4 linked regions of the Oreochromis niloticus genome follow. The protein of the gene in region 2 purifies or fractionates together with the protein of the main gene of each other region. This does not show direct contact. Links are inferred from orthologs where the notes say so. Each region holds a gene or a part of one and is shown on either strand. Other genes may lie near its edges.

The links.
Region 1: the proteins of prkcz (region 2) and c1qbp purify together in Homo sapiens (affinity purification with mass spectrometry; 5 studies listed by BioGRID and IntAct, with this or other methods). This does not show direct contact. The link is inferred for Oreochromis niloticus from reciprocal best matches to the Homo sapiens genes PRKCZ and C1QBP.
Region 3: the proteins of prkcz (region 2) and pard6gb purify together in Homo sapiens (affinity purification with mass spectrometry; 6 studies listed by BioGRID and IntAct, counting the BioPlex papers as one, with this or other methods). This does not show direct contact. The link is inferred for Oreochromis niloticus from reciprocal best matches to the Homo sapiens genes PRKCZ and PARD6G.
Region 4: the proteins of prkcz (region 2) and llgl2 purify together in Homo sapiens (affinity purification with mass spectrometry; 7 studies listed by BioGRID and IntAct, counting the BioPlex papers as one, with this or other methods). This does not show direct contact. The link is inferred for Oreochromis niloticus from reciprocal best matches to the Homo sapiens genes PRKCZ and LLGL2.

What each region holds. Positions count from the first base shown.
Region 1 is NC_031975.2:990,562-998,182, reverse strand, and holds the start of c1qbp (complement component 1 Q subcomponent-binding protein, mitochondrial), read left to right. Parts: upstream 1-4,453; 5' UTR 4,454-4,600; coding exon 4,601-4,853; intron 4,854-5,490; coding exon 5,491-5,641; intron 5,642-5,720; coding exon 5,721-5,811; intron 5,812-6,969; coding exon 6,970-7,065; intron 7,066-7,157; coding exon 7,158-7,283; intron 7,284-7,383; coding exon 7,384-7,533; 3' UTR 7,534-7,621. Other genes in the region: ATP-dependent RNA helicase DHX33, read left to right, coding at 69-228, 322-410, 498-625, 723-926, 1,008-1,094, 1,443-1,751.
Region 2 is NC_031984.2:33,854,932-33,862,877, reverse strand, and holds the start of prkcz (protein kinase C zeta type), read right to left. Parts: upstream 3,058-7,946; 5' UTR 1,339-3,057; coding exon 1,262-1,338; intron 1-1,261. Other genes in the region: L-rhamnose-binding lectin SML, read right to left, coding at 3,788-3,804, 4,013-4,116, 4,547-4,679, 4,782-4,826, 4,957-5,063, 5,524-5,659, 6,403-6,453, 6,539-6,571 and 1 more. UniProt on the Homo sapiens protein: Calcium- and diacylglycerol-independent serine/threonine-protein kinase that functions in phosphatidylinositol 3-kinase (PI3K) pathway and mitogen-activated protein (MAP) kinase cascade, and is involved in NF-kappa-B activation, mitogenic signaling, cell proliferation, cell polarity, inflammatory response and maintenance of long-term potentiation (LTP).
Region 3 is NC_031985.2:20,080,881-20,088,317, reverse strand, and holds the start of pard6gb (par-6 family cell polarity regulator gamma b), read left to right. Parts: upstream 1-4,436; 5' UTR 4,437-4,717; coding exon 4,718-4,789; intron 4,790-7,437. UniProt on the Homo sapiens protein: Adapter protein involved in asymmetrical cell division and cell polarization processes. May play a role in the formation of epithelial tight junctions. The PARD6-PARD3 complex links GTP-bound Rho small GTPases to atypical protein kinase C proteins.
Region 4 is NC_031973.2:27,096,540-27,103,692, reverse strand, and holds the start of llgl2 (LLGL scribble cell polarity complex component 2), read left to right. Parts: upstream 1-4,005; coding exon 4,006-4,080; intron 4,081-7,153. UniProt on the Homo sapiens protein: Part of a complex with GPSM2/LGN, PRKCI/aPKC and PARD6B/Par-6, which may ensure the correct organization and orientation of bipolar spindles for normal cell division.

The sequences.
Region 1 (7,621 bases), on a different chromosome or scaffold from region 2:
ACAGCACAGATAAGAGGTGCTTTTTGTTGCGTCAGTTCTCCTAACAGTGCACACGATGTGACTCTCAGACAGCGGCCTGGAGGTGTTGGCAGTGCAGCGCGTTTCCAAAGCGCAGGCGTGGCAGCGAGCAGGCCGGGCTGGCAGGGAGGACTCTGGCTTCTGCTATCGTCTCTACACCGAGCAGGAATTTGACAACCTCATCCCGATGACTGTTCCTGAGATTCAGAGGTAGGCTGTGGAGTCTGCTTTACACGTGTGATAGTAAAAATCCACCTTACATGTCTCATTGAGTCAGCTCTGTGTGATGCTTCTTACCCTCAGGTGTAACTTGGCAGGTGTGATGCTGCAGCTCATGGCTCTGGGGATTCCAGACGTGACAAATTTTGATTTCATGTCCAAACCTTCTCCAGGTAAGATGCTGTCAGTCAGGATTTACCTCTGGTCCTCCGGTACGCGATGCAGAGTTAGCTGTAGTAGTGCTTTGTATTTTACACCAGAGGCCATCCGTTCTGCTGTGGATCATTTGGAGCTGTTGGGAGCTGTGGAAAAGAAGGACGGGCAGGTTTTCCTCACCACTCTGGGAAAGAAGATGGCGAGCTTCCCTCTGGAGCCCAGATATGCCAAAGTAAATCCTGCTGGTTCTGCTCTGATCTTTTTTTTTTTAGCAAAGACAAAGTGTCGGCTCACAAGCAGATAACCCCTCTGTTTGCTCCACACCGCAGACCATCCTGCTGTCCCCGGACTACTCGTGTTCTGAGGAGATTTTGAGCATCGTGTCGCTGCTGTCTGTGGACACCGTGCTGTACAACCCTCCGGCCCGGCGGGACGACGTGCTTGCAGTGCGCAAGAAGTTCATGTCCAGTGAAGGAGACCACATGACACTGCTAAACATTTACAGAGCGTTCAAGAAAGTCAGCGGTAACAAGGTGGGTACGATGAACACAACTAATGAAAATACATAAATGAAATCATGCTGCTGAGCTGTCACGTGATCTCTGCTGTTGTAGGAGTGGTGTCGGGAGAACTTTGTCAACAGCAGGAACATGGGTCTAGTGAAAGAAGTCCAGGCACAACTTAAAGAAATCTGCCTTAAGGTACACATCTGCTAACCTCTGCTAGCACAGAGGGATTCTCCCAGGAATCGCTGATTATCCTGATCAACTACAGAGGATTTATTAACATTTAATGCAGCTCATTAGAGAATAATATCCATGCTTTTGAAAGTAAAGTGAACACAATGTGTAAATTCTGACAGTGTCAGTATTATTATGAATGTGCATCATCACACAGGCTAACGCCTCAGGGCTATTTTGAAAACAGCGAGTGCCGGTTGATGAATGAGTGTTTTCCTGCTTTGATCGATGCTGCACACCTGTCTTTGTGCATCTCTGCGGTGAACTCATGCGACCTGTGTACTAAGTCACGTCTTGTTGTTTTCCCAGCTGAACCTGAAACTGGAATCGTGTGGAGCAGACACGGCGAGCGTTCGCCGCTGCCTTGCCCACGGGATGTTTGTCAACGCTGCAGAGCTGCAGCCCGATGGCAGCTACTTGGCTCTAGACACCCACCAGCCCGTGGCCATCCACCCGTCCTCCGTCCTTTTCCAGGCCAAGCCGGCATACGTAGTCTTCAACGAGCTGCTGCACACCTCCCGCTGCTACATGAGAGACCTCTGTTTGGTCGATGCCGACTGGCTGCTGGATGCAGCGCCCGAGTACTTTGGCCGCAAGCTCCACCTCAACAAGAGCTAACCAACAAAGAAACAGGCCACCTGCCACAAACACACTTATTGCAAGTTGGTGCAGAACGTTTGCTGTGTCGTAAACTACTCTGGATTTCACTACCTCCCAGTTGACAAGCATTGGGCATCTGTCACTGAAGCAGAAGTCTGCATATCGAAGTTTGACTTCCTCTGGACTGTCATTCCGATTTTACGAGCTGTAATTTCTTCTTGTCATCATTTAGCCACACGGTTGGCCTGAAAAGCCAGTTTGCTTTGAAGTGTCTTGCTTTGATTCTTTCAGTAGTTGCATGCATTTATACAGCACAGGTAACCTCAGAGGAGCACAGCATGGGGCTGTTTTCCACCATGTTGTTCTTCTTCATTGCTACCAAATAGCCATCAAAACGCTCCAGCAGACGGATTAGTGGCTGCGAGTCCAAAATATGAGCTTTTCCGAAGCTAAGAAAAGCACTCTGATTGTTTTGGGTTTACATGAAGTGGTCTTACAGGGGTTTCTTTATGCAATCAAAGTAGATTTGTTTTACTCTACTTTCAGCTGTTCCCTTATTCACAAGAAAACATGAAAAACAAATGCAGTGTGTCACACTGACATGGTTTCACTTATACAGCACTAGCCTCGTTAGCTCGTGCATGCTCCTTTTCCCATCTGCAGTCATGTCACCGTCTCTTCCCCAAATACACGCACGTCAGGAGAAGTAGCATGCCTTCCTCTCCAGGTTCTGCTCATTGCTGTTTGTCGCGCAGATCCCCACACAGTTGCCAGACGTACCTGCTAACAGCAGACATGTGCAGTGCACGGAGAATCTGTTCAGCGATCTGATCACTCGGCTCCGTCACGCTTTGTAGAATGTAAATGACGTTGTGTTGATGATGGAGCGTCCTCTTGTCTTTTTTTTACACATTGGACTCAGGACTGTAAAATATAACCTGAATAAAGTATACAGTTTCTAACTTTGTAGTCAAACGCTGAATGCTTTAGAGAATTATCAAAAGTTGAGCCATTTCTGATCTGCATGAAGTTTATTGTAACGAATGCACGCCTGCCAGGGCTCATCTATGAGCGTGGATCATCTGATCCTAATACATGCCCATGTTTGTTACATATTCTAATAAAAACAAATCCACCTGAGTCGGCACAAGTCAGTCGCAGTTCTAACGTGTTTAGTATTATTGTGTTATGGCCATAGCATGGTTTAAGGACTGTGCGAAAGTCTTGAGCCACCTCATTTTTAAAAACATTTTGCTTCCAAGTAGATGACCTTTGGAATTCTTTAAGAGCTTTGGAGCAATAGTTCTCCAGACTAAGCTCTTCTTCTTTGGATGCTGGATGCTTTTTCACTCATTTTCAGTCCTGAACATTTTCAAAGGAACATTCTGGGTTTTTAAAAAAAATTATCATTCAAGTCTCTTAACACAGCCAGCACTTTGCATAACTCCGGGGGAGAAGCCAGTGTTGTCTACACATACAACATGTCATATCTTTAGGCGCTATGTTACTATATCATTTGCTCCCATTTCTTTATTTGAATCAACGGAAAATGCCAAAACTGACATTTCCGCCAGGGGCTCTTGTGTTATGATGGAGTTATGATTTTGACCCACCATACTATCTGAAGAGCAGTTTGTTTGTTATTTAGCATGATATTGGTCACAAACACTCTACCAATGCAGTAAAAGTAGACCTGGACAGAAAAGCACGCAACTGGACGACTCTTCCTGAAGACTACTCAAAGAAATGACAAGACTTGTCTAAGAGAGTTTAGGCTGTGCTGAAGAATAAAAGTGTTCATACCAAATATTTCAGACTTTCAAGCTCATTAGAATTGCTCAAACTCTGTTTTTGCCTCATGTATTTGCGTTTATGTTTCAATGAATCAATGGACTTATTTCCCATTTTAGTAGCAAAACAGAAATGAGAAGTGTCTCAAAACGTTTGACTATGTTCATTTAGTCAATTCAGAAAAACAGGATCTCCCCTGCTGCCGTTTAATTATAGACAGGCTCACATAGACTGGAAAGCAGCTCCATCTGCTGGCGGGAGGGATTCACATGATGCAACTGATCAGCCTCATTGCACCGAAGTGTCGATGTTTTACTTTGACTGATGCAACCCCGTCGTTAGGGGCCTCAGTCGATCATGTCTGTACACACACACACGCTCTGAAAATACAGTACAAATGCACTACGGTACACCAATCAAAAGAAACCCCTCCAAGCTTTTCAGTAAAAGAACTGAGGCTGGGATTTTTTATTAAATCCTGACAGTTTTTAAGCCAAAACGGGGTTTAACTCTGGAGCAAAGTCCTATTAAATCGGGCCCCTGCACACAGATATTTTTGCACTTTAATCTCCTTACATATGTATTTTTAAGAGTTTCTGTTTTAGTGTCACAGCGTGAAGGCAAAGGTATTATTAAAGTCCGCGGTGTTTCAGATTTGTAGCCACACTGTAAAAAGCTCCGCAGAACAAACGACATGAAAAACCCCAATTTAAACAGATAGCAGCGCCGGTCTGCTATCGCTGATTTGAACTACAGGGGGCGCTGATGTGTAGACAATCATTTACAACACACACGTAATTTTTCCAAATAACTTTAATTAGGTTATATCTTATTTATTTTTTCTATTATAATATTTTGTCGTATTCGGTGTAGTTTTTGATGTAGAATTTAAAATTGCTATTTCGTGTCTTTCGCTTTTAGAGTATTACTTCCGGGGCAAAGAGTATCTGGGTCAATGTGTCCTTCCACACGTGCTGTCAGCGTCTTCTAGAAGCAGCGTCGGTAACCGGTGTTCACAGTGAGCTGTGCGGCACGGAACTCATTTATTCTGTCGTGACAGGTGTTTTTGTACAATCATGCTAAAGTCAGTCGTCCGTGCGGTGGGAGCAGCTGCTCGCCTTTCTTCAGCCAGCACCTCCGCAGCGCGAGTTCTGCCCCTCAGCTACCCGGCACTGCGCTCTCCGAGTTCGGCAGTAACTCGGCCCTTCACCCGGTCTCTCTGGATGCTAAATAATAACGGAGCCTCGTCTGGATACAGGCCCAAACTCTTCAGCTCCAAGGTGTTGAGTCCGTCGATGTCGTGTGGATGTGGAGGACTGCACACAGAAGGTGACGTTTGGTGTAAACTCCTTTAAACAAGCCAGCCAGCTTACGAGACCAATAAACTTAACATTAGATGGATCAGACAACTCGTATTGCCAGAACCAACACGTCCTTTACAGTTTAAAGGGATAAAAAAAGATGTTTAACGATCGTTATAGACTGAGTTCATATCAGCATCTTCAGACTGTAAGGAGTCTTTCACCTTAAACTGTGATTAGTGGTTGTCACTGAAAAAGGCTCTGAAACCTGCCAATAGCCTTTGATCATTCAGCACACGTGACACGTCTAGGACTGTTCATAATATCCAACGAGACATCTTTAGACAGCCACAAAACAGATTTCTTTCATTTTCAGCAGTCTTACAAGTATTGGTAAATGGCCTGTATTTATATAGCGCTTTACTAGTCCCTAAGGACCCCAAAGCGCTTTACATATCCAGTCATCCACCCATTCACACACACATTCACACACTGGTGATGGCAAGCTACACTGTAGCCACAGCCACCCTGGGGCGCACTGACAAGCACTCGTGTTTTGTGTAAAATGTTAGAATCAGCCTTGTTTTTCATTTTATTGTCAGAAGTAAACCTTTAAACAAACTGTGCATCACGTCTCATGATGAAATCATAAACTCTCTGTTCAGGTGACAAAGCTTTTGGTGACTTCCTGTCTGATGAAATCAAAGAAGAGAAGAAGATCCAGAAAAACAAAAGTCTTCCTAAGGTGTCGGGAGGATGGGAGCTGGAGATGAATGGCACAGAGGCTAAACTCACAAGAAGTGTTTCTGGAGAAAAGTAAGTCTGCCAAAATGATTGGATAAACGTGGCCGGTGTGGCATGTGAAACAAGCTCACGGTATTTCTGCTCTTCACAGAATCGCGGTCACATTCAACATCAACAACAGCATTCCTCCCAACTTTGAGGAAGAAGTGGAACAGACACAGCAGAAATCAGCAGAAGAGGAGGTGAGGCACAGCTAGTGGTTGGAAGACACTATTCAAGCATAACCAAAGACACCTAGGAAAGATATCCCTCAAGGGACGAATCAGTGTTGTCTACACATAACAGACAATTTAGAAAAGAACTTAAAATTGTATCTTTAAGCTCTTTGTTGCTAGCAGCCTGTCACAAAAACATTTATTCACATTTCTTTAGTAGAAACTGTGAAAAATACGCCAACGATGGTTGGACACAGTTTGACAGGTTAAACATTGTACTTTGATTCCCAAAGAGCTGTCATTGCAGCACGTTGTGCAACATGGCCTTTTAAGAAAATCTGAGGAAACTGGACAAAAAGTGGTAGGCCTAAACCAGGGGTGTCCAACTCCAGGCCTCGAGGGCTGGTGTCCTGCAGGTGTTAGATATCATCCTGCATCAAATGATTAGTTCATTACCAGGCCTCTGGAGAACTTCAAGACATGTTGAGGAGGTCATTTAGCCATTTAAATCAGCTGTGATGGATCACTGGCTCTCGAGGCCTGGAGTTGGACACCCCTGCCCTAAACTATCTACAGCAGATGAAGAGTATCTGAAAGCTGAATCCTTAAGAAATGGATGAAAAAATAGAGCAAAGATTTGACAGAGAACACAAGAGATGTTCATTTATCTACTGTGACTGAGACCTCATCAGAAATGTTCTCAGTGAAAGGCTGCCTCTCAAGAAGCCATTGATCGTTGGTGAGGAATCTAAATGTGAAGGTTTCCTTTCAAATCATAGTATGTACAGAAAAGGTCAGGAGAGGGAAAACAGAGGCTACGACCATCTGCAAAGCACAGTGGAGGCTGCATTTTGTTAGTCCAAGAGATGGAAAACATCTCTGTTAGCGTGCTTGTCAAACGCGATAAAAGCTGAGTTGAAGAATAAAGACGAAATATTGACTTTCAGACTCGTTAGAACTGCATGAACTCTTAAGTTTGTCTTATACACTGTTTTCATATTTGTTTACTGTTTTCTTATATGTCTGCACTCATTTCAATAAACGGCTCCTCCATTTGCTAATTTCCTAACAACACTTAAAGAAACGAGGGTGGCTTGCACAGCACCGTAGGCGGCTACTGGCTTACACACTGAAGTTTTTAACCTCAACATTTTGTGTATTAAGCTTTTTACCCCTTTTTTGCAGCCGGAGATTGTATCAACACCCAACTTTGTTGTTGAAGTGACAAAGCAGGCTGCAAAACATTCCCTGGTGTTCGACTGCCATTTCCCTGAAGATGAGGTAAAGTCAAATAAAACGAATGTCTAATATTGCCGATAGCAGCAGTAGTGTGCGCAATAGTGAAATGAATATGAGGCATTTGTATTTCGTAGATAAGCCACGGTGAGGGAGAAGAGGAGAGCGACATCTTTGCCATTCGAGAGGTCAGTTTTCAGCCACAGGGAGATTCAGAGTGGAAGGAGACGAGCTACACACTCAACACAGACTCTTTGGACTGGGTGAGAGCCGAGGCAGTACACACAGCAACAGCTCAATTATAACGGTCACTGAAAGTGGCGCTGTGCTCAAGGTTGCTTACTTACTGGTACTGTTTCTCAGGCCCTGTATGACCATCTGATGGACTTCCTGGCTGACCGTGGGGTCGACAACACCTTCGCCGATGAACTCATGGAGCTGAGCACGGCCATCGAGCATCAAGAGTACATCAAGTTCCTGGAAGACCTCCAAGGCTTTGTCAAATGTAATTAACTTCAGTGCACATTCTGGGAGAGTTCGAGGTGTGAGGGTAGAGTAAGACTAAAGCACTCGGTGGTCCATCGATACGTTTGATGACCCT
Region 2 (7,946 bases):
ATTTTAGAAAAAAATCGAGGTTCCGGCGAGATTGGCAGAAAAATCTTGAATGTGGGGATGGGGTAACGGTCATTCTCCGTGGCATTATATAAACGGCGGAAATCTCCGCATGGCCGCCACCGACCGTCCGATTTGGGCACCATGTGAAGCGGAGAGGCCCATGCGCTGTTCGAGCGCTGTACAATGCCAAGGCGCTCCATGGCTGCAAACTCTTCCCAAGTGACGGAAAGTTTCGCGGGGTCGAGGCGGCGCGCGCGCGCGAACACCGGGGGCCCGACCGTGGGAATATAATGCTCAACCCCGTGCTTCATTACCGTGCTAGAGAAATTAGTGGCTGTGGCTACAATGTAGCTTGCCATCACCAGTGTGTGAATGCGTGTGTGAATGTGTGTGTGAATGGGTGGATGACTGGATGTGTAAAGCGCTTTGGGGTCCTTAGGGACTAGTAAAGCGCTATACAAATACAGGCCATTTACCATTAGGGACAGACAGCGATTATTTATTTTATTTTATTTATTTTTTAGTGTCATTTTGGCAGCATTTGGGGCATTTTCAGGCCGTATGCTTTAACAAACTCCTCCTCCAGATGTAATTTGATCAACATGATCTTTGGTGAGTTCAATCTAAAGATCCTGCAAAGCTTTTGAGTTTTCGTTGAAGAGCCCGTCTGTGACGTGACCTCCAGTCATCCACGGACACAAAACGGTCACACCGCAAACATGTCCAGTTTGTCCCACACGGAGAACCACACATGTGTTTCAGTATCAGGTTACACTCAGGCTTCATCAGATATACATGAGATTTTCACTGTGGACTCGATACCAGATGTGACATACAGTAACATGACGTGTAATCTCCGTGTTCTGTCATGGTGACGGTACACGGACTGGTTCTTACGTTGTGCTGCTTCCACGATAATAAACTTGCCTCGTTCATACAAACACTGTTCCTGTGTGATGAGGTGATTTCGATCCTACAGCATCGTTAGATTCCACAGTGTAAGATGACTAATCAGCCCACTTCCACTGCACATGTGCCCCATCATCAACACAAACGTTGACTTTACGCGAGGGTGAAAAATATTCTCGAAGCTTCCTCTGAAGTCATTTTTCACGCACCCCACAGAGTGGGTTAAACACAGGTGCCACAGGTACTAAAGCCCCTCTGACTCAGGAGCTCCAAGAAGGCCAGGCTACGTGCTGAATAGCTGTTCGTGTCCATTCCACAGGTGCTTCCCACTTACCCACGGAGCGTTACTTACCCGCAGTAGTGCGCTTTAATCTTCACAAACTCCGAGTTCAGGTCCATTATGGATCCGTTTGACGCTAGCATATGCATCGTACAGTGTGGATCAGCTCCTCCGTGTCTACGTGAACAGGCCCACGCTCGCTGTGTGATACGTGGATAGAAAGCGGTTTCCACTCGCCGATAACAGAGGACCTCTACGCCCAGTGCGCTGAAAACAAACCCGAGCGGAGCCGCTTCAAACTTTCTGTCGTTAAGGTAACATTAGAGACTTTGGGGAAGTTTGTAAGGTGGCGTGAATAACGGTGGTGTTTCCGGCCCCGGCTTTCAGAATAAAAGCTGTCGCGCAAGGTTTACAGTAGCGCTCTTATTTTGAAACGGAAAACTCTTCACCTGTCATCGGTCGAGCTCGGAGTGTAGTCACGCTTGACGGGCTTTCTTTCGGCTCACTATGGTTACCGTAATCTAAAATCACCTGTTCACCTACCGGGGCTTCCCGGCTGTCCCGGCAAACAGCGTGCTAATAATCTGAAAGGACACGGACAGTGTGCGGTCGGGTTCATGACTCCTGTTCGCTTTTTATGCAGTTTTATCCTCATAGAAATGATCCTGTAATATTGTAACTAATACTCTAATATGTTCTTATCATCTCCCAGCGTTACAGCAGGTTTCTACGATATATTAAAATAAACAATCGCATTAAATGTATGCGTTCATTAACACTGTGGTCAATATCACGCGACCCGTGTACACACCAGGTAAGGACAACCTCTGTACACCGGCAAACAGAAAAAACCCGACATCAGCATAACCAGTCATGTTAAGATGGTGTTAAGCGCCCCCTGGTGGTTAATTGGCAAAAATGTTATAATGCATGAAGTGTGTAAAGTGACACTCGTGGTCAGCCTAAAGAGTGACCTGCTGTAATGGTCGGTCCTGAGCCCAGAGGGGAAGCTGTTGTGTTTGTGCATCAAAAACCAGAACAGATGGTCCTTCTGGAGAGGCTGAAAGGCAGGACACTGCCCCTGCTCACCGGGAGGAGCCCGCTCAGACCGGTCAGCCGTCTGAATTAGGATACCGCTTCAACACCTCCCAGATAAGGAGGGCAGACTGGGCCAAACCCAGGACACGCTGGGGAGATTGTTTCGTGGCTAGTTTAGGGACACCTCGATGTCCCCCAGAAGAGCTGGAGGCTGCAGCTGAGGAGAGAGACATCCGGGCACCCAGACCAGCAGTGAACAATAGATGGAGGATTCACGAGTTATTAATCATGTAGTTCACTGTTTCACAGTTAGCTCCATAATTATTTGGATAAAGTAACAACTCTGGTAGTTTTGCCAGCCTATGGCATCAGAGTGATCAGAGAAATGAAAATCCAAACCTGTGAGGAGTGAGAAGCTGAGGTTGCAGCTCCAGAGAGGTTGACTATGAAGATGTTCACCCTGAGTTAATTGCATGGGTCAGTAATTTACTACTAATAATAATAATTAGTGAGGTCTGACACCAGGATTCACTGCCTGGACAGTTAACTAAAGAGCAGTTGGCCCTGGCCCACATCCAGATCTTTACTGCTTTTAGAAAATCAAATTATTAGCTGATAGATGACAGTAATCAGATATTACCTGATGGAGACTAAAGAGACGTAACAATTCTTAAAGATAAAGATATGAACAAAACTGATGAGATATAACAGGGTCAATATGAGCTTTGGTGAGTTCAATCTACAGATGAGGATATTATGTGATATTAGTCAAACACAGGACAACGGACTTTGTTGATTTTCAGTGAAAAAGATATTGTTTGATTTTTAGTTGTATTCAAAATGCTGTTTAATGCACTTACTGACTGAGGTCCTCGGGTCTCTTGGCACCTCTGGGGTCTTCAGACACATCTCCCAGACTTGCTCTGTGTGGTTCTCTTTGAGTTTCACTCCAGTTGCTGACACACTGTGATCAGTTTGTATCAAACCTGCTTTGTGAGAATCGTTTCTTTTTCTCCCGTCTGTTTCTTTTGTAGTTTGAACTTGATTGACGTGCTTTGAACATTAAAGCACATCATTGCTCAGCAGCAGTTTCATTGTGCCATAGCTCAAAAGAGGTCAACTTTTATTGACCCCGATCATTTTTGGTTTTTGTGTGTAAATAGAAATAATTTCTCCTTCTAAGGAAAACTAGTATTTTTATAAATGTCATGTTGCTGCACTAAAGATTAAATGTCATTTCATTTCTTCACTTTGATCCTCTTGTAGCCTCTGACCTGAGCGATCAGTATGAATACAAATTGGAGATAAAGTATCTGAATTTCAGGAGCGGGACCACACCTCCAAACACGCCCCCTCCGGTTCTCATCTATATACTTTCCCCCAGTTCTACAAGCTGTTTGTTCTCGCCCTTAAATGAGGATGTGGGCCCAGTGAGTGAATGGTCCATATAGATGACAGTACACATGAAAACACTGATGAGTCCCAAACACACAAAAACATGTTGTTTTTCATGTATTTTATTTAGTGAAGGATACTGTTACTGCAGGATCTTTAATCCTCTCAAGCACCTACAGATTCTGCAAAAGATCAAACACACACAATCAGATGTGGTTGGCTGTTCACTGTAACAGTTACACTTCAAGTGAAGAATGAAGCTAAATAAAGCAGCCTGTTATTGTTGACATCACAGGTGGATCACTGAGCACCTGTTTGGCTCTGCTGCTGGTTTTTCTTCCCCTTGTGTCATGTACCGTTCACATACTCTTCATCCTTTGAGCTACTTACTCAGACAGTTGTAAGTCAGCTCCAGGTATTTATACATATGAGGACAGGTGTCGCCAAGCATTCCACTGCTTGCTCTCATAGAACAGGTGCGTTTCCCATTACACCTGTGGATGCAGAGCAGCACAGAGCAGATGAAACACTTAAAGGTAGGGAGTAAAGATCCCCAGCTGACAAAGCAAATTAAAGACACGTTTGTTTGTTGTTTATCTCATACTAGACGATGTGTAGGAATGATGTACAACACTAATTACATAAATCCAAATGAATACTGCTGATTAATAACACTGATCAAACCCAGGCTATAACCCCTGGCTGTGTGGGGACAGCAAACGCTGTGAACACAAAGTTGTTCACAAAGTGATGGTTGCACGTCCCAGCTCACCCAAATCATACTTTCAGCTCTGCTAGCTTCAGAAATATGTGTCGTTGGCTACAAGATGAGAGGAGAGTGCCAAAGACCAAAGACTTCATAGTCATGTTTAAGATCTCGTTGGTCACTCAAAGTAAAATATCACATTAATGTTAAAGCTGTACCTTTCAGCAACTTTGCCAGTGGGGTTTGAACACTTGATGTTTTCCATGTGTGAGGCCTCCCGTCTGACAGAGCATATGTGTGGATCACGGCGCCCAAAATCAGCATGGTAGACGTGGATGACATGGCCCTGGTCTGTCAAAGAAAGCAGTGCGTGCTGTTGAAAACTGAAGAAGGGTGCTTGGAGAGGCAGTTATCAGCACACGTTAAAGTTTGTCGGGTCACACGTGATCTTACCGCACTGCAGTTCGACCATAGACTGCTCGCAGATTATCAGGTGAACTGCCAAAGTAACATCAGTCAGATTAGGTGGAGCACTCGGGTCAGATTAGGTGGAGCACTCGGGTCAGATTAGGTGGAGCACTCGGAGCTTGAGTGAAGCTTTACTGTTTAAAGCAGGTGTGTGACTCACTTGCTGGTATACAGGTGTAGGTGGTCTGGATATATTTAAAGGTGTCATTGCAGGGATCTCTTGCAAAGATGGCCGGGGTTACTTCACACACCTTCTTGCCATCACAGCTGAACAGATAATAAAAAGTAGAGTCAGCAGTGAAGCACCATGGGAAATCCCACCTAAGCTGAGAAGAACAGTCTTTCATTGGGTTCTACATGATTATGGGGTTTTTGTAAGGTAAAAGGAATTCCCCACAAACTTCATCAAAGTTAATAAGTTAAATCATCTGTTTTGTCTCAGGCAAAAGGCCCACAGTCCCAGCTTTGCACTGGATCTGGTAACCTGGCATTTCTTACTCCACGATCACTATCCATGAAAGAAGGCACTCTGATTCTTTTATACTCATTTTTCAAAAAGCATTCTCGTCTTTAACATGATCTCTCACATCACTGAAGTTTCACACTATACATACAATACACAGCACATTTCATCCCCTGTTATTCTACAGGACCATATCTATATGTGGTGATCAGCAGCAGTGACATTCATTAATAACAAATACTGGTGTCTTATTGGGACGTATACCTGGTCCTGATGATGTCTTCAGCGCCCTCCAGAGAGCACGCAGTATTGATGGCCACCTCTTCAGCTTTCTCTCCACTGCACGTGTCCCGGTCTCTACGTCCATACATGGACTCCTGGACACGAATCACTCCGGTTTCTGTTGGACGTCACAGAGGCAGGTATTCAAACACAACGACGGAGCTTACCAACCAGGAACGTCTGCAGCTGCCGTCAGACTCACAGAGTCTTATTTTACTCACTTGCTGCTTTGTATGTTTCCCCAACCCAAATGTCATTCCTGTCTTACACACTCTGTATTCATAGAACCAAATCAAGGATCCCTTAAAGAAACAGGCGTGTTTTCCAAATCTTAGTGATGATTATATTACACTAATGTGTGTCACTTATTTATTTTTGAAGCAATGGCCGACTTGTTGTGTGGAGGTTCCTCCAGGCGGTGAATGACGGTGTGACGTATGTTTGCTGAAACACTTCACAGGTTTTAAAATCCACCCGTCCATTCTCTCCTGCCTATCCTCAGAGTGGGGGGGTAATGCACCACCGTGTGTGGCTCCTGGCTCTATACGACTACTGTGGCACTCTGTATGGACACTTTTTCTAAGGCAGCTGAAAAGATGTGAAAATGACCTATTTGAATAAAAACTGCAGGAATAGGACACTGTGGTGTAAACCTTCTGTTGGATATCAGCATGTGGAGTTTTGTATTCATGGTTTAAAGTCGGTCCTGAGTGTTTCTGCTCTCGTGATACCTCACTGTGTGTCTATGACGTGATTCGTGTTCGATGATCATCCCCAATAAATAAATAACAACATGTTTGTGTTAATAATGTGGTAGAAACACTGCAGCGCTGAGAAACATGAGCAGTGGTTGGGTCTTACCACAGCTCAGACGGTGGACGTGGTTCCCACACGTGATGACTCTCTGCGCACCTTTAAAGCACACATGGAGCTATTAGTCTAACACACATATTAAATCTAAGCACACTGAGAAACAATCAGACTAGCAGACACTTACCTGTGCTAACAAGCAGACAGGCTGCTGCCAACACTGAAAAACAAAGAAGCAGCACTCTGAATTTATAATGTGGCCAAATATGAAAACGTGACACTTTACCCTGAAATATATGAACCGAAGAAATCTTCTTCGGCTAGAAAACAACATGAATGAAAAAATGCTGACTCTACTCACAGAGCGTGCTGCTGAGGCGGAGCATGGTTTCAGAGGACTCAGTGAGACTGATGCTTGCAGCAGAAACACTCAGCATTTATAGGTTTGAGTCCGTCTGCAATCTCGTCTTATCGTGCTAAACAAACCTTACCCTCAGACTTTTGTTCAGCTGGATACGTGCCCAAACATGTGGCCAGATGCTCGCCCAGTGAAGGATTTGACATGATTATACATACAGTACATACAAAAATATACAGTTTATATACATATACTGTTTCATGGAAATGCTTGGATCAAACATGCTCCAATGAATTTTTGAAGTGATCAACAATAACGGTGGAGCTCTTTACTGAGTTCACGTTTGGACCTTTGATTTCCTTTTGGGGGGGTTACAGGGTTTTTGGAGGTGTGGTCCAGTAAAACAGCCTGTTTCAGTTTAAACGTTGTTTTCAATAAAGTGCACGCTCAGCAAAATGTTTTGTCTCAGTAACATTCCTTCTCGTTGCATGTTCAAGCTCGACCTGGAACCTTGTTAAGATCCAACCATGCAAAACAGGATCTTGTCATTTTTCATGTGGTCTCAAACTTTTCTGTATGTGGTCGAGGACCCAGGCCTGAAGGATAGAGCGACAAGTCTGTGTAAGTTATGACACTTGGCTCACTGTAACTTCAAAAAGTCATTTATTTCAGAACTGAAACTGCGTAATAAACTCACATGTTATCTTCTGATTTATTAACATTAGAATGTTTCACAGAGCTCAGGGTGTTCATGAGCTCAAAAACACAGCAAGCATCCCACCTGAGTCACTTTCCCCGCTGATGCTAACATCAGTCAGTTCCCTTTTTGCTGATGGGCTCCATAAAATACTGTTTCCACTAAAGAAGCCGTGTTTTTATTTAAGGCCAACAGCTAAACTACTCTTTATGCTGTTTGATTGTCTCCACAAAGTGAATTAGACCAAGTAGAAAAATGGATATCTACCTCAGTTTTATTGAATTGTATTTATTTATGCTTTTTTTATTTGATCTATTTGTACAGAGAAAGACTTTTATTGCACAGAGAAATGCAATGAAACGTGACAATAAACGCTTTGAATCTTGAATCTTTTGGAGGACACATGGTTTCAGTGAATCGGGAAATACTGAACTGGCTGACATACAATTTACAAAATGAAAAAAGACAAACCTGTAGATTTTCAAAATGTAAGTGTGCAGGTTTATTTCTGTTATCTGTGTGCTTCTGTTTCTGTCAGAG
Region 3 (7,437 bases), on a different chromosome or scaffold from region 2:
ACTAAAAAGAAGAATATGCAATTAAATCAACCATAAACACAATTAAGATTGAATATTTCACTGTCACCATTACAGCCACTTGCTTATTGTACCAAAAATCTGGTTAACATACAGGACTGTACAAAAGCCTTGAACCACCTTTTTGTTTTTTCTTTCTATTTTGCTTCCAAAACATTCCAAGCCACTTATCACTGACATGAATCAGTGAGATGAACTGCGTTCTGTTAATCAGTGGCAACAGGTCTTACGGAATAATTAATCCAAATTTTATATTTTTGATTCAAATCATTGTCATTATGTATCAAGGACGTCAGGAGAGAGGTCTGCAACCATCTCTAAAACATGGTGGAGGCTCTGTCATCATTTGGTGCTGCATTTCAAGTGTCTGGTTGGTAACAGTTTCATTTTTCAGCATGACAATGATCCAAAACACACTGCCAATGCCATAAAAACACACCTGGATAGAAAAACACACAATACAACACTATCAACCATGGATTGGCCTCCCCAGAGCTCAACATTATTGAAGCAGTGTGGGATCATCTTGACAAGAGACATAACAGATGACACCCAAAATCCAAAGAAGAACTTTGAATGTCCTTCAAGAAGCCTGGATAACTATTCCTGGAGATTTATTAAAGAAATTACTAGAAAGCCTGTCAAAAAAAGTTCAGGCTGTGGTGAAGAATAAAGTTGGGAATACCAAATATTGACTTCCAAGCTTGTTAGAATACAAAGTCTGTTTTCCACTTATACACTATATTTCCATGTACACTTGTTTAAATAAATCACGGCACATATTTCCTATTTTTCCAGCAAAATATCAAGAAATAAGGGGTGGCTCGGGGCCTCTGGACACTGCTGTTTGTTGGTATATAGACTCATCTCACTGCTGATCAGTCCCAAAGCAGTGGCAGACCCCCTTGTCGTGTTTTGAGATAACTATAATAGATTTAGACTCATTCTGAATAGAGTATTGGATGGCTTTGCTCAGCCAACATCCTAGTTGGTTTTGTCTGTATCGAGCTGATTGATTACTTGTGTGTAGTCAGCGCCTTTGATGTGGTTTTATTTTATTTTTATTCACGTCCAGAGTAAATTTATATGTTTGCCTTGTAATCCTCATTGATCATGAAAGCCTTATAACTTCCATTTCAAAGAACATACTAGTGATTGAAGCTTCTTTATGAGTTATGGCTTTGTTTTGTTTCCTTGATGACAAATACAGTATTCTTGTAAAATCATTGAAGATGTGAGATGAAAATCTATGTTTTAAAAAAACCCATTCATTCTCTTTGATGTTGCATAAAGTTTTATATTTAAAAGAAAGTCTGGATGTTGCCCCACCATCTACAGAAAAAGAAAAATCATGTAAATGGCTTTGCTGCAAGATAGCTGATTAAAGTAGATGTGCATCCCCCTTTGTCTCTTTCTCTCCTAATTGATTGCCTGGCTTTTGAGACAAGAAGAAAATAAATATCTTCAAGCCAAGATACTTTAGTTGCACAGAAAACTAAAAGGGGGTTCCCCTGCCAACGCCAATACACTATACTGCAGTTTTAAAGAGGCAATGTGGGCCAACACTAAAATTTAGTGAGATCTTCCTTTGCCCATGCTCCACTACTGCTCAATGAAGTTTCATGACATTTACTTTTTGTGTAATGTTGATGACAAACAGAAAAACTGAAAACCTACCTTCACTGACAGCATCCACAATAGTTCGTGGCAAGACAACATCCCTAAACCTTCAGACCGTGTCATTTTTACTCGTGTTAGATCGTTCTTCCAAGCGCCCTGCAGCAGATCAGCAACCTGACCAAGATGTGCTCTGCTTTTTTCCCTAGGACACCAGCGGTTGCATGCCGGAGCAGCAGGTTGAGTGTCGTGGATGACAACAGACTCAATAAATTGATCCGTAAGACCAGTAGCATTGTAGGGATGGAGCTGGACTCAAGGTGGTGTCAGAGAGGTGGTTGTTGTCCAAGATAGATACAATACTGGACAATAAACTCTCATCGACTCCATGATGTGTTGGTCAGTCACAGGAGCGCGTTACCCAAATGCACCACTGAATGACACAGGAAGTCATTTCTTCCTATGGCCATCACTCTGTACAACTCCTCCATCTACACAAGTACACACTGCAATAGTTGCACACCCTTAATATCACATCCTCTACAAAGAAAAGTTACAATTAATATAACAAAAGGGGCACCTCAGTGTCACCCATATATATGTAATTTCGTGTAATATACAGGGATATTTATGATTAGAGCTATTTGTATTTATTAGAGCGATTTTGTTATATTCTGTAATATATTGTATTATTCTATTTAGTTTAGTTAGTTCCTATTGGATCAACTGTGACCACATAATTTCCTCTGAGGTTATTAAAGTATTCTGATTCAGATGCTAATTATGGAAATGGATGGACGTTCTTCCAAGTTTTGGCAACCAGGGAACATTGGAATTAATTCTTCTGATTGACACACAACAAAAACATCTATCCATCTTTCCTTATGGTAGGTTTATGGCAATCACCTGTGATGATTCAGGCCCAGATGGTGAAAAATGTAAAAGATTTAACTTTATGTAGAGGAAGGTCAGTATTTTTCCACCATAATTCAGTTAAAACATATGCAGATTTTTGAATTTACTAAAGCACACTGACTAAGTCACGCTGTAACTGTTGCACTGTTAAAGTCATTAAAACAATACCACACATCGGCCGTTAGTGGGCGCAATAAGCTTAACTACTCGTTTTCTTAACGCTAGTTATATAGAGCACCACCTCATTCACCTTACAATATTTCATTAATTATTAACTACCAGCAAATATGACGAGCATCAGATGTTGCAGAAACACACAAAAATCACCGTCTCTTCTTTTTCATGCTAATAAGTCCTAACTTGATTGCGGGCACCCATCAGATGTAGTTCTGACTACAGTTGATAAACATTTACACACTAAATCTACTACAGCGTAACTATCCCTGCATGCAGTCACATAAGGAGCACTGCAGTGTCTGTGCTGCAGGATCGCAGTGAAACCTGGGTTTGGGTTCTGTTTGTAAGCAGTCAACACATTCCTGAAGAGAGTAAACCAGCAGCACTTTCAGCTACTGAGAGGGTGTGTGTGTGTGTGTGTGTGTGTGTGTGTGTGTGTGTGTGTGTGTGTGGACGGGGGGGCATGCAGCCTGCAGCTGTTGTGCACAGCCAGCTTCAGGGGCCCAGGAATGCTGTCAAGCAGGATTGCGGTCATGGATGCTAATTAACCCAGCTGAAAATGAATATTCCCGATCAGCTGGTTCTTACGCTGTGAGGTTTTTGGTTCAGGTTGAATGGCTCTGGATGCCTATACCTCACAAAGGAGGGGGTGTGAGATTATCACGTTCCAGGGCCAATTAGAGATGTTTACCTGGTGCACTTTGAAGCTCTCTGCTGACAGAAGAATAGCTTCCTCTTGGCCACCCAAGTTGGGTGGCAGGTCTTGTTACAAATCCTGTGTAACCTGGATAAAAAGATGGTTTTATGGTCTGTAAAAGATCACAAAAATAAGACTTAATGGTATCATAGGCCACATTTAACTCCATATTATGAAGACAATGTAAAAATACAAGTAAATCTTCACCTGTTATGTATCTGAAAAGTTGAGCAGGCTACAGCAGATGGTTAAATATAAAGATATGTGGCTGTTTTCTTCACACTATGGTGTTTTTATGTGTTTGAGTTCCCAGTGGCTCACGCTTCACCTTCACTTACAGAGGTAATGATTGTAAACTGAACTCTTAAACCCAATTTATGTTGTTGTTGGGGGATTTTTTTATATTAAAAGATATATGTTCCACACCACAGGGTTTGTAGGCTTACACCACCTTGTTGGGATCAATGAATTCAATCATTTAAATACAGACCGTTTTTAAAAATGCTTAGAAAATCGCGTCCTCTGGTGTCTCGGAGGTCCAGCGTGCGCAGTGCTGCCTTCACAGATCCTGGAAATACACCAACTAACCGGAAAGACCACTCTTTTTTTTTTTACTCTGAATATATTAGGCTATAAATTGGACAGGGCGGGGTTAGAGGAAGTCTGCCTACTTTTGAGATTTAAAAAAAATATATATTTTAGTTTAATTATTTTTGCTTCATTTTTGCTTCATATGCATCAAAAGACGACTAAACACGGCTGATTTAATATGATCATTTTATTAACAGGACATAATACATATCAAGTTGTCATTGTTATAAATATTTGTGTGTGTTTTGTTTGTTTGTTTTGCGATAGCATACATTCTTAAACCTTAATCCATCATCAGTAGTAGCTGTTATTTACTCAGCCTTTACTGACTACAGTAAGGATACAAAGAGATCCCGCCTGAGGGAGTTGGGGATTTCGTGCGGTACGTGAATGCATCCCAGAATCCCGTTTTTTTTAAGAGGGCTGATGTCATTTTCAAAACTTAACTCACACTCCTCAAGTCAACGCGGCGAGTCGCACACCTCCTGCTCTCTCGTGAAGTCCTCCCTCATGTCTGTCGGAGCGCACTGAGAAAAGAAAAAAGAAGTCGGGGAGGTGAAAGAAACACCAAGTTCTGTGGAAGAAGCGAACAGGGAGAATTTTTTAGAGCAGAAAGCCCGGGACCAGAGCCCCTCTCTCTGTGGGCAAAGGCGGCTGAACTTTTTTTTTTCTTTTTTTTTTTTTCCTTCAAACGGGAAAAAAATGAATCGGAGCTTTAATAAGTCGCAACCTCTGCGAAATCCTAACTGCAACGCTGTGGAAGTGAAAAGCAAGGTGAGTGGAAACTTGAAAGCCCTGCTTGGTGGTGGCGTTGGTGGATAGGATTCGGGGGGATTAAAATAATAATAATAATGATAAATGTTCACATGGCTGTCCCGTCACGGAGCCGGAGTTGGTCGGACGGTGTGCAGCCTACGCCACATAACTATTTCCGCTTTTTTCCCCGTGAGTTGTGCGGGGAAAGTTACAGGTTCTGGATGTTTCTCTCATTTGCAGTGATTGTTTGCTTCTTACTTCCGATCCAGATTGTGCTGATTTGACTTTTTCTATCCCGATGCTGCTGTGGGTGGTTGATGGAGGGGGGCTGGGTAGGTGGGTAACGGGGTTGTTTTTGAAGCACCTAGTTCTCCAGATTTCCTACAGCAACAAAGTTTCCACCTGTTAAAATCAGACGTTGCATTAGTTGCACTGAGTTTTTGTCTTGCTACACAGTATCAGCCTAGCTCTTTGTTTTGGATCATTTTTTTAAACGCTGACAGACTAATGGACACACAAACATCAAGTGGATTGCCAAGATTTCAAGTGTTATGTCTCAATGGAGTGCCCTGATTTATGAAGCTTTTCATCTCAACACGTACACAATACATCCACATGAGCTATGCGGTTCTTATTTAAGTTTATACTGTAGAGGAAGAGTTTTATTTTTGTTTTGTTTTTTTATTACACAAGTGACAGTTTGTGTGGGCTCTGTGAAGAACTACCAGCTGACACTCATCACTTGTGAACCCCACAATGATTGCTGGTGACCTGCATTCTAATCCAGTGTTTCTGATTTATTTATTTGTGAGTATTCGCATGTGTTCACACCTGAGGGTTAAAGGGAGAGATGGGCAAGTGGTGCAAAAGGTGACTCATTCACTCCTGAGTTGTTTCCACCTTTTGGCCGCCCAGTTTCAGTGGGGTGGTGGACAGATGGAGCACAGATGCTCTGATGGTGACAGGTGGGTGAGCATGTACTTACACAGAAACGGCCAAAAAAGGGGAGTAGTGTTTGTGTGTGTGTAGGTGGGTTTTTTGTTCTTTTTGTTGTTTTGCCTTTTTTTTGCTGCAGGGTTTGTTCCACAGAGACAGGAGTGGTCACTCCGTGGCTGCCGCAGATTGTTTGTGGGTGGGACTGGCACGCCAGGAGCTCTGTGGCTAGAACAGACAGGTCCACGGCGTCACCACGGCACACCGTCATGCCACGACGTCACACGTTTCCACTTTTGGATCAGATGTGACTCATCCCTCTCCGTCACGTCACTTTAAGCAGTTTCACATTTTGTTCTACTTCGTCAGGTTGTGTTTTGTTTTGATCCGTTTGGGGTGTGTTGGGAGCTCTAACACCCTTCCCTCATGTTCCCTCATGTTCCCTCATCTCCCTCAGTGAAGAAATTAAGCGTGTTGATGAAAGAAAGCTGATGATTTGGAGAGAAAGTGACTGTTGTGGGTCTTTTAAAGCACACTGACAGTTGAGGACATTTGAATACCTGTAAAGGGAAATCTTATCTGTTACATAGCTCTGCCACAGTCTGGGCCTCTGAAGGCACAGAGGAGCAGGATCAGCTACACGTAATTCAGTTCATCATTTAGTAGTAAATAAAGATACGATATCCTCACAATACTTTGGTCGCATTACAATATTATTGCAGTTTTAAACATTTTGCAATGTTCTGAGTGTTGCAGTAATATGTAATGCAATCTATCATCATTTTCAAACTGCAGATTATGTCCTCAAAGTTAAACTTTGTCAGTGTTTGTTTTATCCAATAAGATAAAGTTATCTTGCTCTTTCTTTCCTGTAGAATGAGATTTTCCTGACTGCCAACACTGGCACTAAAAGCGTGCTGTAAATGTAACCTAATACTTTACTTTAATGAGTAACAGTAGTTAAATTTTTAAGTAATACACAGAATATGAAATGAAATAAAAGTTATAAAACATAAACAAGACCCATTGATGAGGTTTGGGACTCATAAATTGTGTAACACTCAACAAGACTTACCTTCTCATGTAAACGCGAACAAAACAAAAAAATACACACTAAAATTTATACAGGCTTCCTGCCTTCTCATTAGATACAGATATGTTTCCATAACAATAAAGAAACAAGAAATATCCAAAGCCAAACGACTTATTTACAGACTCGAATCATCCTCGCATTCACATTTGTTTTGTTTTTATATAGTTGTGTAAACTTGTGCCGTGACAAACAGGTTTTCATTTCCTCTACGTAGTTACTGTAAAGTTGTAATAGTTACTGTTGGTTCCTACAGCCACTTTATTAAACATGGAGTTCTCTCTCAGTACGTGGAGTTTTTGTATGACTCGAAACTACCTCTGATAGGAGAAAGATGCCGGTTCAATTGCAGACGGAGACGCAAATCGCTTCTTTGGTTGCAACAGGAGGGAAAAAAAAAAAATCTCCCAAGTCAAACGCATGCAACTGGTCGCTGCGGTGACCTTTTTGTGATTAAGGAAGCCCCCAAAAGTAGCTTTTGAGTGTCTTTGGGCGCAGTTGAACATTTGAGCAGGCATTTTTGTTATGTGATTACTTTCTTTAAACCAAAAAAAATGTCTAAATAATTTGTTAAGCAGAAGCAAACATGGCCTTTAGGTGCACTCCCTTTTTAATAATCGTATGCCAAATAACCAGGGGTGCA
Region 4 (7,153 bases), on a different chromosome or scaffold from region 2:
AACTAACATAAATAAAATACACTTCAGCTAAATACTTCTAATTTATTTGCCCAAACCACGTGGAGCCACAGTATAAGGACTAAAGAGCCGCATGCTCTTTAGTTCTACTAGACCAGGGGTCGCAGGTTGCCGACCCCTGGTCTAGTAGAACAAGGACTGAGCAATCGCGTCTGTCCGCGGCCATCGAAAGGTAATTTGTGACTTTAAGGAGAGCTGTTTCTGTGGAGTGTAACTTTCTAAAACGTGATTGAAAGTTATCAAGAACATTATGCTTCTCCAGTGTCTTCTTTACTTGTGACCAAATGGCTTTTTCTAATATTTTAGAAATGAAAGGAAGTTTTGAGATGGGTCTGTAGCTTGTCTGTAGTGTCGGATCCAGGTTAGGCTTTTTCAGCAGAGGTTGAATAACCCCCTGTTTAAAGCACCTGTGGACAGAGCCAGATAGCGGGGAACAATTTATCAATGTGACCACAGAGAGCCCAATGGTGTCAAAAACTTTAAGAAACAGAGAAGTAGGTAAGACATCTGCTGGACTCGTTGAGGGTTTCATTTGAGTTAGTATTTCAGATAGATATTTAAAGAAAGTGGGTGAAAAGATTCCATAATTATGGTTTGTGGGAGATCATGGTTGAAGAGGCTATTTAAGGGGGTTATATTTCCTCTTACCTCACTGATCTTATCTTGGAAAAGCTTAAAAAGTCATTGCAATCCATATCTGAGAAGACTGGTGTGCACGGAGTTGGAGGAGAGACGTTGCTATTCATTGAATCGAAGAGAACCTTAGGATTTCTTTTTCCTACTGCGAGTAGTTTGGAGAAATAAGTGGCCCTGTGATCCAGGGCGGGATTTAACAGAGCTGCCTTTTCTGATTTTAAGAGGAGCTACTTTATCTAGAATTTTTAGACATTGTGAATTGCAGGAGGCCACATGCCATTTCATATCATCCATTTCAGGTAGATTAGATTATTATCAAACAATTCCACAAATTCTTCCACCACAGAGTCAGTAATTAGATGTGAATGCTTCACATTAACAGAGGGCATAGTGTCATAGATAAAGGAGAGATTAAAGAAAAGATATTGTTGATGGCTAATAAAAATGTCCTCATGACGGACTGGTCCGATATCCAGACCCAGTGACAGAATGAGATCCAGGGTGTGGCCACAACTGTGTGTTGGCCCAGTCATATTTTGGGTCTAAGAGATTAAGAAAGTCAGGAGCGGCATGGCATGAACTGTCATCGACATGGAAATTAAAATCCCCCAGCAGAAGGATTGTTTTCTTGTTTCTTGTTGTCGTCTTGTTTTGGCAGTATGTGCTCTACCTAGCCTAGCAAATGGTGACAGAGAAACCATATATGACCACAAAATGCAGTACATTTTCACTATGCTGAAATAAAGGAAGACTTATCAATTAAGTCAGTGTCTTTTAGCTTTGTTTACATTTTGAAGCCTTAACGGAGTTTTGATAATCTCGTGCTTTTTGCTTTTTTTTCTTGACCGAATTGTGTAGGCAGAAGTTAGCAGGAAAGTTTGTGTGAAAAACCACTTCTAACACACAGCATCTACATTAAATAGCAGTTGTATTATGATTTCACAGAAAATCTCAGATGGAGAAGAATGTTTGATGGCTGAAGTGGGACAAATGATGAATACATTTACATTTGAATCCTAATTTCCCAGTGACTTCAAGCAGGGTAGTCACAGACAACCAAATATGTAGCCAGGGGCCTTATGACACCCAGGTCTCGTGTATTTTGTTTAACAGGTTTCTATAGAGTTTCTATAGTTTGAGGGGATAGGTTAATTGGATAATCGAAATTGTCACTAGGTGTGAATGTGCGAGTGAATGTGAGTGTGAATGGTTGTCTGTCCCTGTGTGTTGGCCCTGCGACAGACTGGCGACCTGTCCAGGGTGTACCCCGCCTCTTGCCCTATGACAGCTGGGATAGGCTCCAGCGCCCCCCGCGACCCTGAAAAAGATAAGCGGAAGCGAATGGATGGATGGAAGGTTTCTATAGACATTAGTGAAGCTAATGTTTTGGTACTGCTAGTAACCCTTTTTCCTCCTAGTAACCCTTATACTGCTACTTGTGTATTGGTGCAAGAAAAAACATGAGAGACACTGTACTTTTTGGAAGGCAACTGGACTGATTAATAAAGCCATGTATCTGATGGTGTGATTCATCTCTGAATTGTGGCTGGAGAACATGCTTATGGAAGAAGACAGGTTTTGATTGTGTTAAATAGTAGGATATCAATACAGGGAGTGCAGAATTATTAGGCAAATGAGTATTTTGTCCACATCATCCTCTTCATGCATGTTGTCTTACTCCAAGCTGTATAGGCTCGAAAGCCTACTACCAATTAAGCGTATTAGGTGATGTGCATCTCTGTAATGAGAAGGGGTGTGGTCTAATGACATCAACACCCTATATCAGGTGTGCATAATTATTAGGCAACTTCCTTTCCTTTGGCAAAATGGGTCAAAAGAAGGACTTGACAGGCTCAGAAAAGTCAAAAATAGTGAGATATCTTGCAGAGGGATGCAGCAGTCTTAAAATTGCAAAGCTTCTGAAGCGTGATCATCGAACAATCAAGCGTTTCATTCAAAATAGTCAACAGGGTCGCAAGAAGTGTGTGGAAAAACCAAGGCGCAAAATAACTGCCCATGAACTGAGAAAAGTCAAGCGTGCAGCTGCCAAGATGCCACTTGCCACCAGTTTGGCCATATTTCAGAGCTGCAACATCACTGGAGTGCCCAAAAGCACAAGGTGTGCAATACTCAGAGACATGGCCAAGGTAAGAAAGGCTGAAAGACGACCACCACTGAACAAGACACACAAGCTGAAACGTCAAGACTGGGCCAAGAAATATCTCAAGACTGATTTTTCTAAGGTTTTATGGACTGATGAAATGAGAGTGAGTCTTGATGGGCCAGATGGATGGGCCTGTGGCTGGATTGGTAAAGGGCAGAGAGCTCCAGTCCGACTCAGACGCCAGCAAGGTGGAGGTGGAGTACTGGTTTGGGCTGGTATCATCAAAGATGAGCTTGTGGGGCCTTTTCGGGTTGAGGATGGAGTCAAGCTCAACTCCCAGTCCTACTGCCAGTTTCTGGAAGACACCTTCTTCAAGCAGTGGTACAGGAAGAAGTCTGCATCCTTCAAGAAAAACATGATTTTCATGCAGGACAATGCTCCATCACACGCGTCCAAGTACTCCACAGCGTGGCTGGCAAGAAAGGGTATAAAAGAAGAAAAACTAATGACATGGCCTCCTTGTTCACCTGATCTGAACCCCATTGAGAACCTGTGGTCCATCATCAAATGTGAGATTTACAAGGAGGGAAAACAGTACACCTCTCTGAACAGTGTCTGGGAGGCTGTGGTTGCTGCTGCACGCAATGTTGATGGTGAACAGATCAAAACACTGACAGAATCCATGGATGGCAGGCTTTTGAGTGTCCTTGCAAAGAAAGGTGGCTATATTGGTCGCTGATTTGTTTTTGTTTTGTTTTTGAATGTCAGAAATGTATATTTGTGAATGTGGAGATGTTATATTGGTTTCACTGGTAAAAATAAATAATTGCAATGGGTATATATTTGTTTTTTGTTAAGTTGCCTAATAATTATGCACAGTAATAGTCACCTGCACACACAGATATCCCCCTAAAATAGCTAAAACTAAAAACAAACTAAAAACTACTTCCAAAAACATTCAGCTTTGATATTAATGAGTTTTTTGGGTTCATTGAGAACATGGTTGTTGTTCAATAATAAAATTATTCCTCAAAAATACAACTTGCCTAATAATTCTACACTCCCTGTATTTGCTTTTCACTAAGGAATAACAAAGGTGTGAACTAGAGGATTTATCTTTGAACATGCCCTCTTTTCTCCTCTCTCAAACTTTTACTTTCGAGCTGGATCATCTACCTCTATCTCCTGTGTCTCCTCCAGCCACCAAGTGTCAACGGGCCTTCTGGCTGCACGCCGGTATTGACAGGATGAAGAGGTTCAGGCGGCATGGTCAAGAGTCCCAGAGGGATCGGCTAAAACAGGAACTCTTTGCGTTTAATAAGGCAAGTAAATTAGACCATATCACACAATTTCAACCACATCACTACAGATGGCAATGTGAGTGATGAGGAGAAGAAGAAGAAAAAAAACATTCACAAGACTCTGAACTATCTGCAGTCATAATATGCATTCAAGTGACCAGGTTACTTAGCAGAAACAGAAAATAAAAGTAACCAGAACAAGATCAAATAAGCTGTTTACTTTAAATTTATATATTAGTTTCCTTTTCTCTCATTTTTTCTGTGTAACTGTATCATGGCAGAGCAATAGTATACAGATAGGTGCAGCTCAAGGCTACAACAGATTTTCACAGGTAGAAATGACCTTATTTGGAGTCCAAAGGACCGCTGTGTTTCCATTTTCCTTAGACTTTGGATGGAACCCTTCTAAATTTACAGTAATTCTCTATTTTTCTCTCATTCAAATCCTGCCTCTATTTATCGCCTTTTTTATTTTCAGTTGTTGTGAATGTGCATACTTTGACAGACAAAAAATGCTGATATGAGAAACCAATGCTTGTCCTAAAAAATGCAGTCAATAAAAAATAATGTTTAGCATCAGCATTGCAAAGTAAGGATCCATCAATCTGATCTTAGCGAAAGCAGAAACCATGGCATCACTATATGATATTCAGAATGTATGACATTTTCGAAAAACGTATGGACCTGGGGTTTTTTGGGGTGATTTTTGTCTGTACATCACCGTGGTCCCTTTAAATCAAGGAACACAGGCGTGATTGAAGACGTGCAAGCACTCAGCTTTAATTCAAGGGCTTTAACAAAAATATTGACTTAACTGTTATGGAATACGGCCATTTTTATACATGGTCTCCATTTTTAGTACTCTAGTGTTCAGAATGTAATTCCAAAAATTATCATTGTTCAAATACTTAAGAACCTGACTAATCTCAGCTAAGAATATATACATTTCAGACAGAATGTCACCAGGTAAATTTATGAAAGTGCGTTGCCTTTAAGAATCCATACAAATCCCAAACTTTGAACTCTAACCAGCGTAGGTATCCAACTTAAGTAACCATAACGATCTAATTAGGTTGATCCTAACATGAACAATATTATAGCCCTCTGGTTTTTCTAATCCCCTAATCCACTAACAATAACCAAGTGACAATGAAGAAGCTTAGTGGAGAAAGCAGTGTCACCTGATTATTTCAGTGCCTCTAAACCAGGGGTGTCAAACTTACAAACTTACTGTCTAGGGCTGCTCAATTAATCGAATTTTAATCTCGATTACGATCTGGGTTTTCAACGATCATTAAAAATGACTGAGCCGATTATTAGCACCTCCCTCGTGCTTTACTCTCGCGCTGCTCCGTGTGGCAAATCGAGCGCACCTCTCTGCGTTTCGAACACGCGTCACAAGAGGATCCGAGGGAAGCTCGGAAAGCTAAGCAGAAGTTATTTGGAGAGGAGAGGATAATGGCTGCTGAAGAAAGAATGCCGTTGGCTGAAAAGAGAGGTAAAACGACTTCAGTGGTGTGGAAACCAATGTTCCCTCTAAGCTGCGCACGTGCGCAATTGCGCACTGCTGGCACGGTCTCTGCGCACAGAAAATCTGCGTTGCGCACAAAAAAAAATCTAACCTGAATTGAAATTAAAATTAAAACTTTAACAATTCTGTTTTGCAGTGTTAGTCAGTGAGTGACTGGCTGCTCCTGTATGGGATTAGAACGATGCCACCTTATCCTTTAGTCCAGCCAATAATGCGATTCACATTCGTATATACGCAGCCAATCAACGTCACTAACAGGCTATGACAGCGTCCTTATGTGCCGACACCGGTGTTTTAGCTAGCAAAGCGGCGTGGCTGATGTGCATTCAATAAGATGCCACACAAATTGTTTGTGCCACTCCAAAAAAATAATTTCTGTCCACTATAAAGGAGAACATCACAGCCTGATACCTGCAGGTCTGACAGCAGCAGGTGTATCACTCCTGTTTCTACCTGGAGACAGCAGTCGCCTCATTGTTCTGACACACAACACAAAACTATCCACAACACTACACACTAACTACACAAGACAACACATTAACTACACACTCCAAACACGCTAAACATCACAAATCTCTCACATCTCAAAACTCGCACTCTCTCTTTTTCTGCTGTCTCTCTCTCTCTCTCTCCCTCCGTCACTCCTAAAACTTCCCCTGTTTTGTTTTTTTGCTCATAAGCAGAGAGCGCTAACGTGGCGAAACTATTCAGGAAAAAAACGCTGCGTATATCTTTTTTTTATCATGACTCTGGTTTTACGTGGCCTATCAACACAATTTATAAACTGGTATATATCACCTTGTTGCTTTGTCTTTAAGTGGTCATGTGATTGGCTTACCACGACTACTTTATTCTTCCTCAGTCAAACAGCAGCACTCATGCCATTGTTTTGCCCCCTTAGCTCCAGGTGTTGTGCTAGACAGTGATCGTGATTACCGTCCGCGGGAGCGCGCACAGCTGCTTAAAGCTGTAGCGTCCAGATTACTTACAGCTACTTCCGTGCAACTGATATAAGATGCGGTAAGCTGAACACAGCTTCAACCATCTGTTTGTTGAAAAATAGTAACGGACCGCATTTTCTTGTTAGTAACGGTAACGGCGTTGTAACGATAGGAATAGTAATTAGTTAGATTACTCGTTACTGAAAAAAGTAACGGCGTTATTCCCATCACCGTTAATGACAACGTGTCCAACCATTGGAGATGTGAGCAGGACAGACGGAACAACTGACGGGAAAAGTGTGGACTTTATACCAGTTTTTAAATTGTGTTGATAGGCCATGTAAAACCAGAGTTATGATAAAAATATATGCAATGTTTGGTTTTCTTCCTGAATACTATCGTTATTTATATTTACTGCGGGAAGAAACGGTAAAAATGGCGTTTTATAAGGAAAACGCTCGAAAGCACTCTCCGCCTGTGAGCAAAAACAAAACCAAAAAACCCCCCACCCTTTCCTATTGGTCAAAAAAAGTACCGTGTCGACCAATCAAAAAATGATATGGCAACGTGGCATCTAGTTGTTAAGAAACGGGGGGAAGTTTGAGGAGTGACGGCGGTGTTC